Saccharomyces cerevisiae S288C: one gene and its partner. The protein of the gene in region 2 binds, or shares a complex with, the protein of the main gene of each other region. Each region holds a gene or a part of one and is shown on either strand. Other genes may lie near its edges. A codon is read from its position in the direction of its gene.

What was found. The genes of interacting proteins can lie anywhere in the genome.
Region 1: the proteins of FYV10 (region 2) and GID8 are in contact, whole or in part, in a cryo-EM structure (PDB 7NS3), measured with the Saccharomyces cerevisiae proteins. Residues at the interface, in NP_012169.1 of Saccharomyces cerevisiae: Tyr243 (codon at 3,261), Ile247 (codon at 3,273), Phe250 (codon at 3,282), Gln251 (codon at 3,285), Phe262 (codon at 3,318), Leu265 (codon at 3,327), Lys266 (codon at 3,330), Ser269 (codon at 3,339), Gly270 (codon at 3,342), Leu272 (codon at 3,348), Ile273 (codon at 3,351), Phe274 (codon at 3,354), Lys276 (codon at 3,360), Tyr277 (codon at 3,363), Gln310 (codon at 3,462), His314 (codon at 3,474), Lys315 (codon at 3,477), Ser316 (codon at 3,480), Leu317 (codon at 3,483), Pro318 (codon at 3,486), Phe344 (codon at 3,564), Arg346 (codon at 3,570), Tyr347 (codon at 3,573); in NP_013854.1 of Saccharomyces cerevisiae: Asn220 (codon at 2,803), Leu224 (codon at 2,815), Ile227 (codon at 2,824), Ser230 (codon at 2,833), Gln231 (codon at 2,836), Ala235 (codon at 2,848), Ala238 (codon at 2,857), Ser239 (codon at 2,860), Met245 (codon at 2,878), Gln246 (codon at 2,881), Leu248 (codon at 2,887), Glu249 (codon at 2,890), Leu250 (codon at 2,893), Met252 (codon at 2,899), Thr253 (codon at 2,902), Leu256 (codon at 2,911), Lys272 (codon at 2,959), Leu274 (codon at 2,965), Met357 (codon at 3,214), Ala366 (codon at 3,241), Asn367 (codon at 3,244), Ser368 (codon at 3,247), Val369 (codon at 3,250), Trp370 (codon at 3,253), Leu371 (codon at 3,256).

What each region holds. Positions count from the first base shown.
Region 1 is NC_001145.3:538,189-542,201, reverse strand, and holds GID8 (glucose-induced degradation complex subunit GID8), read left to right. Parts: upstream 1-2,145; coding exon 2,146-3,513; downstream 3,514-4,013. Other genes in the region: GAT2 (Gat2p), read right to left, coding at 1-1,003; ERG29 (Erg29p), read right to left, coding at 3,651-4,013. UniProt on the Saccharomyces cerevisiae protein: Component of the GID E3 ligase complex recruiting N termini and catalyzing ubiquitination of proteins targeted for degradation.
Region 2 is NC_001141.2:177,893-182,477, forward strand, and holds FYV10 (glucose-induced degradation complex subunit FYV10), read left to right. Parts: upstream 1-2,534; coding exon 2,535-4,085; downstream 4,086-4,585. Other genes in the region: SGA1 (glucan 1,4-alpha-glucosidase), read left to right, coding at 112-1,761; FMC1 (Fmc1p), read right to left, coding at 1,880-2,347; BMT5 (25S rRNA (uracil2634-N3)-methyltransferase), read right to left, coding at 4,225-4,585. UniProt on the Saccharomyces cerevisiae protein: Component of the GID E3 ligase complex recruiting N termini and catalyzing ubiquitination of proteins targeted for degradation.

The sequences.
Region 1 (4,013 bases), on a different chromosome or scaffold from region 2:
AGGTGCTACTCTTTAAATCGGTATCCGAAGCATGCCTTTTATTGTCATAGAATGTTGGAAGATGTTGGGTGGAGATGGAGTCAGTTAATTCCTGTAAGGAAGGTAACTTTATCTTATTGGAAAACGGTGAAGAGCTCTCCTTTTCAGACTCTTGCTGCTTCAACTGTTGCTGCTCTTGTTGTCTGTCAGTAAGTAAAGAAGCCAGACGGTTTTCGATGGTTGTGATATGATTTTGTAAAGAATGGAAATTCTGAGTAGCAATACTCTGCCTGAAATGGGTAGAATTTGATAAAGATTTCAGTTTAGCTAATTCATCCATAGTAGATTGAATGTTTAGATCATTTGCTGTAGTGGTAAGTTCGTTGTTTTCAAAATGTTTAGAAAATGAAACTACCCTGTTAATTTCATGACAGGAACGTTCATCAATATTGTCCAGCACTTCATTCTGATTCGAGTTTACGGGTTTATCGTTATTAATGTTATCAGTACCAATGCCATTATTGGTTTTATTGTAAACTGGTACTTGTTGGAAATGAATATCAGTAGCAACAGGAGCATGCATTTGAGGGTGAATATTATTTAGCTGAAAGTGAGAAATATTGGGCGGCATGTGGGGATCCGGTATGATGCTGACCAGCCGCTGAGGAGCAGAAGGAATTTGGTGTGTATTTCTATAATGTGAGTTGTTGGATATTTGAATATTAACGGCGGGAAGAACAGAATTAATGTTGTTATTTTTTATAGTGTTGTTACTATGGTTGTTGTTATCATTATTGTTGGGATGATGATAGTAGTATGCGTAGTTGTTGTTTGCGCTGTTTATATGGGCATTCGGTCCATTATAATGCTGCAAGGGTAATGGAGAATTTATAGTTACAGTAGAATGCAAAGGATCTACTCTCGGAGCAGAATGGTCAAAAACAAGTTGTGGAGGACCGTATGTGAACCCGGGCAGTGCTTGTGGCTGTGTTTGAGAGAAGGGGTAGATATTGGGGGCTTGCATCTCGATGAAATTTTTTGAGACAAGTCGTAAAAGCCCTTTATTAAAGTGAAAACAAACAATTCACTATGAACGAAAACAATATTAGAGCAAAGGAAATCACTAAAAGTAGATGGAGAAAATAAAAAAACGCCGTGAACGGAAATAGAAGAAATATGAGGGGACGCAAGGAAGTAAAAGGACCAGGAAAGAAAAAATCCTCCTTCAATATATACCAAGATATACAAGAAACTGAAACTCAAAAAATAACTTTTATACAAGATTGCCGACACGAAGAAAGGAAACGATAGCCGAATGTCTTAATGCAATAACAACTGCATTAACAATTAAGCAAATTTAGGAAATTTGCTTATAACCTTATATTTCAAAATAACCGTTGAGTTTTAGCTTTTGCACAATTCCGCGCCGGGCCCCGCGCAGGGAAAATCGCAGCAGCCGGAAAAACCGCCATCCAGCACCTTCAGTTGGGGAAAGCAAAGCAACCGAACGAAACTATATCTGAGATAAGGGCGGTGCAAAAAGAATGTGAAACCACGCTTGAAAAATGAAGTCACGGTTACACTATCTCCAACTCTGCAGGGTACAGTGCTTCTGATCGTGCATCCTTTTGTGGTCTGGACCAGCGTCGACGCGGCGACAGAAGTAGCGATGTTTCGCAGTGATAGACGCGTAGCGGTACAGGCCTGCGGCGGCTGTTGTGCGGTGACGTGCCCATGACTCAACAAAAAAATAAAAATAAGCAAACGGAAAAACCATATTAGTTCCCCTTTCTGCTGCTCCTACTCCTGTGCGTTTTCTCTTGCGCTCCTTTTTTCCCTGTTTTATTTTTTTTGTGTTTTTCGCTCGGCTTGGGTTTGTGTGTACGGCCCTTTTTGGGATCCCGGAGTTTATTTGACTGTTGTCCGGATCCGTTCCGAGTGAATGGTAATCGCTCCATTGTGTTGCTGTTTATCACTATCAGTGTCGATCTCGCTTTCCTGACTCTGCCGGCGCGGTGCCCCGGTTCGTTGCAGGAGACATTTTGATGGTACATCATTTTTCTTGAAGCTAACATGTGTAATTTGGTCATTAAATTGCAAGCAAAGGGGCAGTAGAGACAAATATCAGCCGGATGAAGATATATTTGTGTGTGGTAACAAATAGAAATGACTATATCTACTCTTAGTAACGAGACCACGAAGAGCGGATCTTGCAGCGGCCAAGGCAAGAATGGTGGGAAAGACTTTACGTATGGAAAGAAGTGCTTCACGAAGGAAGAATGGAAGGAGCAGGTGGCCAAGTATTCTGCCATGGGCGAGCTATATGCAAATAAGACAATACATTATCCGCTGAAAATTCAGCCCAACAGCAGTGGCGGCTCGCAGGACGAGGGATTTGCTACCATACAGACCACACCCATAGAGCCCACACTGCCACGGCTTCTGTTGAACTACTTTGTTTCTATGGCATATGAAGACTCGAGCATTAGGATGGCCAAGGAGCTGGGATTTATACGGAACAACAAAGACATTGCGGTTTTCAATGATTTGTACAAGATCAAGGAGCGTTTCCATATCAAACATCTTATTAAGCTGGGGCGTATCAATGAGGCGATGGAGGAGATAAACTCTATCTTCGGGCTGGAGGTGCTGGAAGAGACTTTCAATGCTACGGGAAGTTATACGGGTAGAACTGACAGGCAGCAGCAGCAGCAGCAGCAGCAGTTTGACATAGATGGAGATTTACACTTCAAACTGCTGTTACTGAATTTGATCGAGATGATAAGAAGTCACCATCAACAGGAGAACATCACCAAGGATTCCAACGACTTTATACTCAATCTAATTCAGTATTCTCAAAATAAACTTGCAATAAAGGCTTCGTCAAGTGTCAAAAAGATGCAAGAGTTAGAATTAGCAATGACTCTGCTGCTTTTCCCCTTGTCAGATTCGGCGGACAGCGGCAGCATTAAGCTGCCCAAATCGTTACAAAATCTGTACTCGATATCTCTAAGATCTAAGATAGCAGATCTGGTTAATGAGAAGCTGCTGAAGTTTATTCATCCAAGGATTCAATTTGAGATCAGCAATAATAATTCCAAATTTCCAGATTTGTTAAATTCCGACAAGAAAATAATTACGCAGAACTTCACGGTGTATAACAACAATCTCGTCAATGGTTCAAATGGTACAAAAATAACTCACATTTCGTCTGACCAACCTATCAACGAAAAGATGTCAAGCAACGAGGTCACGGCTGCTGCTAATTCAGTTTGGCTAAATCAAAGGGATGGAAATGTTGGCACAGGTTCAGCGGCGACAACTTTTCATAACTTAGAAAATAAAAATTACTGGAATCAAACTTCTGAATTGCTTTCCTCTTCAAATGGAAAGGAAAAAGGTTTAGAATTCAATAATTACTACTCTTCCGAATTTCCCTATGAACCAAGATTGACGCAGATAATGAAACTGTGGTGTTGGTGCGAAAATCAGCTTCATCACAACCAAATAGGGGTTCCTAGGGTCGAAAACTGACATACATAGTACGTATATATTTATATATGTGTGTGTGCGTGTGCATGTGTGAGTGAGTGTGTGTGTGTGTGTGTGTGTGTGCCTACCTGCATGTATGCATTTAGCAATTGATTTTTCTTTTTTTTTTTTGGAAGCTTTCATAGTATGAATTCGCATTTTATCGTGTTTCCCGTATCAATCTTCAGGAAACATAATTGAACATCATCGATATTCAATGGCAGTAGTTCATCTTTATGATTGTAAATTTTGACACCGTTGGAAATCGTAAACTTTCTTGCCCCTTCACCGCCCTCATTCTTAATTATATCGCGATATATTTCGCAATCTTTAAAGTAGTGGTAAAGTCTCAGCCTCAATACACGCAAGGTAGTACCAAACTCAGGTCTTTTTTCATTTTCATAATCCTCTGGAGAAAATTCAACATGAAATTTTAATGGGGTGGACAGAAGTTCTTTCCCATCTACAATAACATTACATTCGACATCCAATTCTGATACAAA
Region 2 (4,585 bases):
ATCTCTTGGCTCTGGATCCGTTATCTGTTCTGTTACACAAGAAATCGTACATTTACAATATAGTGATAATCGTGGACTAGAGCAAGATTTCAAATAAGTAACAGCAGCAAAATGGCAAGACAAAAGATGTTTTATAACAAATTACTCGGCATGCTCAGCGTAGGATTCGGGTTTGCTTGGGCGCTCGAGAACATTACTATATACGAATTTGACTTTGGCAAGGGCATTCTCGATCAAAGCTACGGCGGTGTATTTTCAAACAACGGCCCTTCGCAAGTGCAGCTGCGGGATGCAGTCTTGATGAATGGGACAGTGGTATACGATTCAAACGGCGCTTGGGACAGTAGTGCGCTGGAGGAATGGCTCCAGGGACAGAAAAAAGTTTCCATCGAAAAAATATTTGAAAATATTGGGCCCAGCGCCGTGTATCCGTCTATTTCGCCTGGGGTCGTGATTGCGTCACCATCGCAAACGCATCCAGACTACTTCTACCAATGGATAAGGGACAGCGCGTTGACGATAAACAGTATTGTCTCTCATTCTGCGGGCCCGGCAATAGAGACGTTATTGCAGTACCTGAACGTTTCATTCCACTTGCAAAGAAGCAACAACACATTGGGCGCTGGCATTGGTTACACTAACGATACAGTGGCTTTGGGAGACCCTAAGTGGAACGTCGACAACACGGCTTTCACGGAAGATTGGGGTCGTCCTCAAAACGATGGGCCTGCTCTTCGAAGCATTGCCATCTTAAAAATCATCGACTACATCAAGCAATCTGGCACTGATCTGGGGGCCAAGTACCCATTCCAGTCCACCGCAGATATCTTTGATGATATTGTACGTTGGGACCTGAGGTTCATTATTGACCACTGGAATTCTTCCGGATTTGATCTATGGGAGGAAGTCAATGGCATGCATTTCTTTACTTTACTGGTACAACTGTCTGCAGTGGACAAGTCGCTGTCGTATTTTAACGCCTCAGAACGGTCGTCTCCCTTTGTTGAAGAATTGCGTCAGACACGCCGGGACATCTCCAAGTTTTTAGTGGACCCTGCGAATGGGTTTATCAACGGCAAGTACAATTATATTGTTGGGACACCCATGATTGCCGACACATTGAGATCCGGACTGGACATATCCACTTTATTAGCTGCGAACACCGTCCACGATGCGCCATCTGCTTCCCATCTTCCGTTCGATATCAATGACCCTGCCGTCCTGAACACGTTGCACCATTTGATGTTGCACATGCGTTCGATATACCCCATCAACGATAGCTCCAAAAATGCAACGGGTATTGCCCTGGGCCGGTATCCTGAGGACGTATATGATGGATATGGCTTTGGCGAGGGAAATCCCTGGGTCCTGGCCACGTGTACCGCTTCAACAACGCTTTATCAGCTCATTTACAGACACATCTCTGAGCAGCATGACTTGGTTGTCCCAATGAACAACGATTGTTCGAACGCATTTTGGAGCGAGCTGGTATTCTCCAACCTCACGACTTTGGGAAATGACGAAGGCTATTTGATTTTGGAGTTCAATACACCTGCCTTCAATCAAACCATACAAAAAATCTTCCAACTAGCTGATTCATTCTTGGTCAAGCTGAAAGCTCACGTGGGAACAGACGGGGAACTAAGTGAACAATTTAACAAATACACAGGGTTTATGCAGGGTGCCCAACACCTTACCTGGTCCTATACTTCATTCTGGGATGCCTATCAAATAAGACAAGAAGTTTTACAGAGTTTGTAGACAAAAAAAAAAATAAAAGGAAAGCGAGAAGTATACACAAGTGTATTTCCTAGATATTTACATCAAATATATATATATACTTATTTACAAAACTCTGATATTATAAATTGATTAGATACTATGTCGGAACGTCCAGCCCAACCACGTTTGCAGTTCTTTTCACTTTCTCATCCTGTGTCAACTTGTTGCCAGGATTGTATCTGTCGACCAGCTCCTCGTATTCTCTTTGGTTGTCCAAGAACTTGATGATGTCCAAAGCGTGTTCGAATATCTCGTCAACGTTTTGTCCCTGGGCCACCTTTTTCTCCCACTTTATATCGTTTTGTAATATGGAACGTAATGACTTAGAGTCGGCTATAAACAAATTCAAAGATCTGTCGCTTACCGGATCTAGTTTTTTCCATTTCTCTAACTGTCTGTTGATGTTCTCATGCGAGTCTCTCTGATTTTGTTTCTTAGCATATTCCAACTTTGTTATCATTGCCTTTCGTAGATTGCCCCAATTGACTATCTTGCTTGGCCTTTCATATTTCAGAATGGCTCTTATGAGTCCTCTATATGTGCGTAATGTTCTTGGTCTATCCATTTCCCTGGCACTCTCTCTTTCTCTCTCTTTTCAGCTTTTTGTTATCCACTTATCGCTGCAAATGAAACTCTAGTGCAATTTGAGATATTCACTTTTTGCAAAGGCGAAGAGAAGGGGGTGGTTAAATCTACAATTTCATACATAAAACAGAGAAAATGATTATAAATTATAGGAAAGTAGGTAAGCCATGGCAGAGAAATCAATATTTAATGAGCCTGATGTGGATTTCCATTTGAAATTAAATCAACAATTATTTCATATTCCTTATGAACTACTGTCCAAACGTATCAAGCATACTCAAGCGGTAATTAATAAGGAAACCAAATCACTACATGAACACACGGCCGCATTAAATCAAATATTTGAACATAATGACGTTGAGCACGACGAGTTGGCACTAGCAAAAATAACTGAAATGATTAGGAAAGTTGACCATATAGAAAGATTTTTAAATACGCAAATCAAGTCCTACTGTCAGATTTTGAACAGAATTAAAAAAAGGCTGGAGTTTTTCCACGAACTGAAGGACATCAAGTCACAAAATTCAGGAACATCGCACAATGGAAATAATGAGGGTACCAGGACTAAATTGATACAGTGGTATCAGAGTTATACAAACATTTTAATTGGTGATTATCTGACGAGGAATAACCCGATTAAATACAACTCGGAGACAAAGGATCATTGGAACTCTGGCGTAGTGTTTTTGAAACAGAGCCAACTGGATGATCTCATTGATTATGATGTCCTCTTGGAGGCTAATAGAATTTCGACTTCGTTACTACATGAGCGTAATCTCTTACCCCTAATTTCATGGATAAACGAGAACAAAAAGACACTGACCAAAAAGTCCTCTATATTAGAGTTTCAAGCAAGATTGCAAGAATATATTGAACTACTAAAGGTGGATAACTATACCGACGCTATAGTATGTTTTCAAAGATTCCTTTTACCATTCGTTAAGAGCAACTTCACCGATTTAAAATTAGCATCTGGACTTCTGATTTTTATCAAATACTGTAATGATCAAAAGCCAACTTCTTCTACCAGCTCTGGATTCGATACTGAAGAGATTAAGTCTCAAAGTTTACCAATGAAGAAAGATCGAATATTTCAACATTTTTTTCACAAATCTTTACCTAGAATTACCTCCAAACCTGCGGTGAATACAACAGACTATGACAAGAGTTCCTTAATAAATTTACAAAGTGGAGATTTCGAAAGATATCTGAATTTATTAGATGATCAAAGATGGTCGGTATTAAATGATTTATTCTTGAGCGACTTTTATTCCATGTATGGCATATCACAAAATGACCCTTTATTGATATACCTGTCACTAGGTATATCGTCTTTGAAGACAAGAGATTGCCTGCACCCTTCTGACGATGAAAATGGAAATCAAGAGACGGAAACTGCCACAACAGCAGAGAAAGAAGTTGAAGATTTACAACTCTTTACGCTACATTCACTAAAAAGGAAAAATTGTCCCGTTTGCAGTGAGACTTTCAAACCAATAACACAGGCATTACCATTTGCTCATCACATTCAGTCTCAATTATTTGAAAATCCAATACTATTACCAAATGGAAATGTTTACGACAGTAAAAAATTGAAGAAATTGGCCAAAACATTGAAAAAGCAAAACTTAATTTCTTTAAATCCAGGTCAAATTATGGATCCAGTTGACATGAAAATATTTTGCGAATCAGATTCTATCAAAATGTACCCAACCTGAAATAGTTTCAAGCTATATGCATTTTTTTATATAAAGATTTGTCCAACTTTCACAACTATTTTACAGATACTTACGCTATATAAGAATTAGGGAAAATGAAAGTTCTTTCATCAACATGGCGACATTCTTCCTTCTGTACTTAGTCTGAATCAGAATCTGTGTCTTTTTTGCTTTTACGGTTATGTTTTGAACTATTCGAGACATATTTACTAAAGATGTAGAACCTAGCATCACGTTCTTTCGCAGGTTTTGTAGTATCTTGTTCGCTATTCGTTCTCCGGTGATGATATCCTGGAAAATTTTCCCATTGGAATTTGCTCGATCTGCTCAGAGTTAGTCCATTTTTTTTGGCTAAAAGTTTGATTTGCCATGAATCATAGGGCTCTCCATCGAAAAGGGACAGTATGATGTTACCATAACCTTCGGCGGTCAATTTTTTAGCCTGGGGAGTATCCTCATTAAGATCATAGCCTTGCGTATAACGAAGAGTATCATTTTGA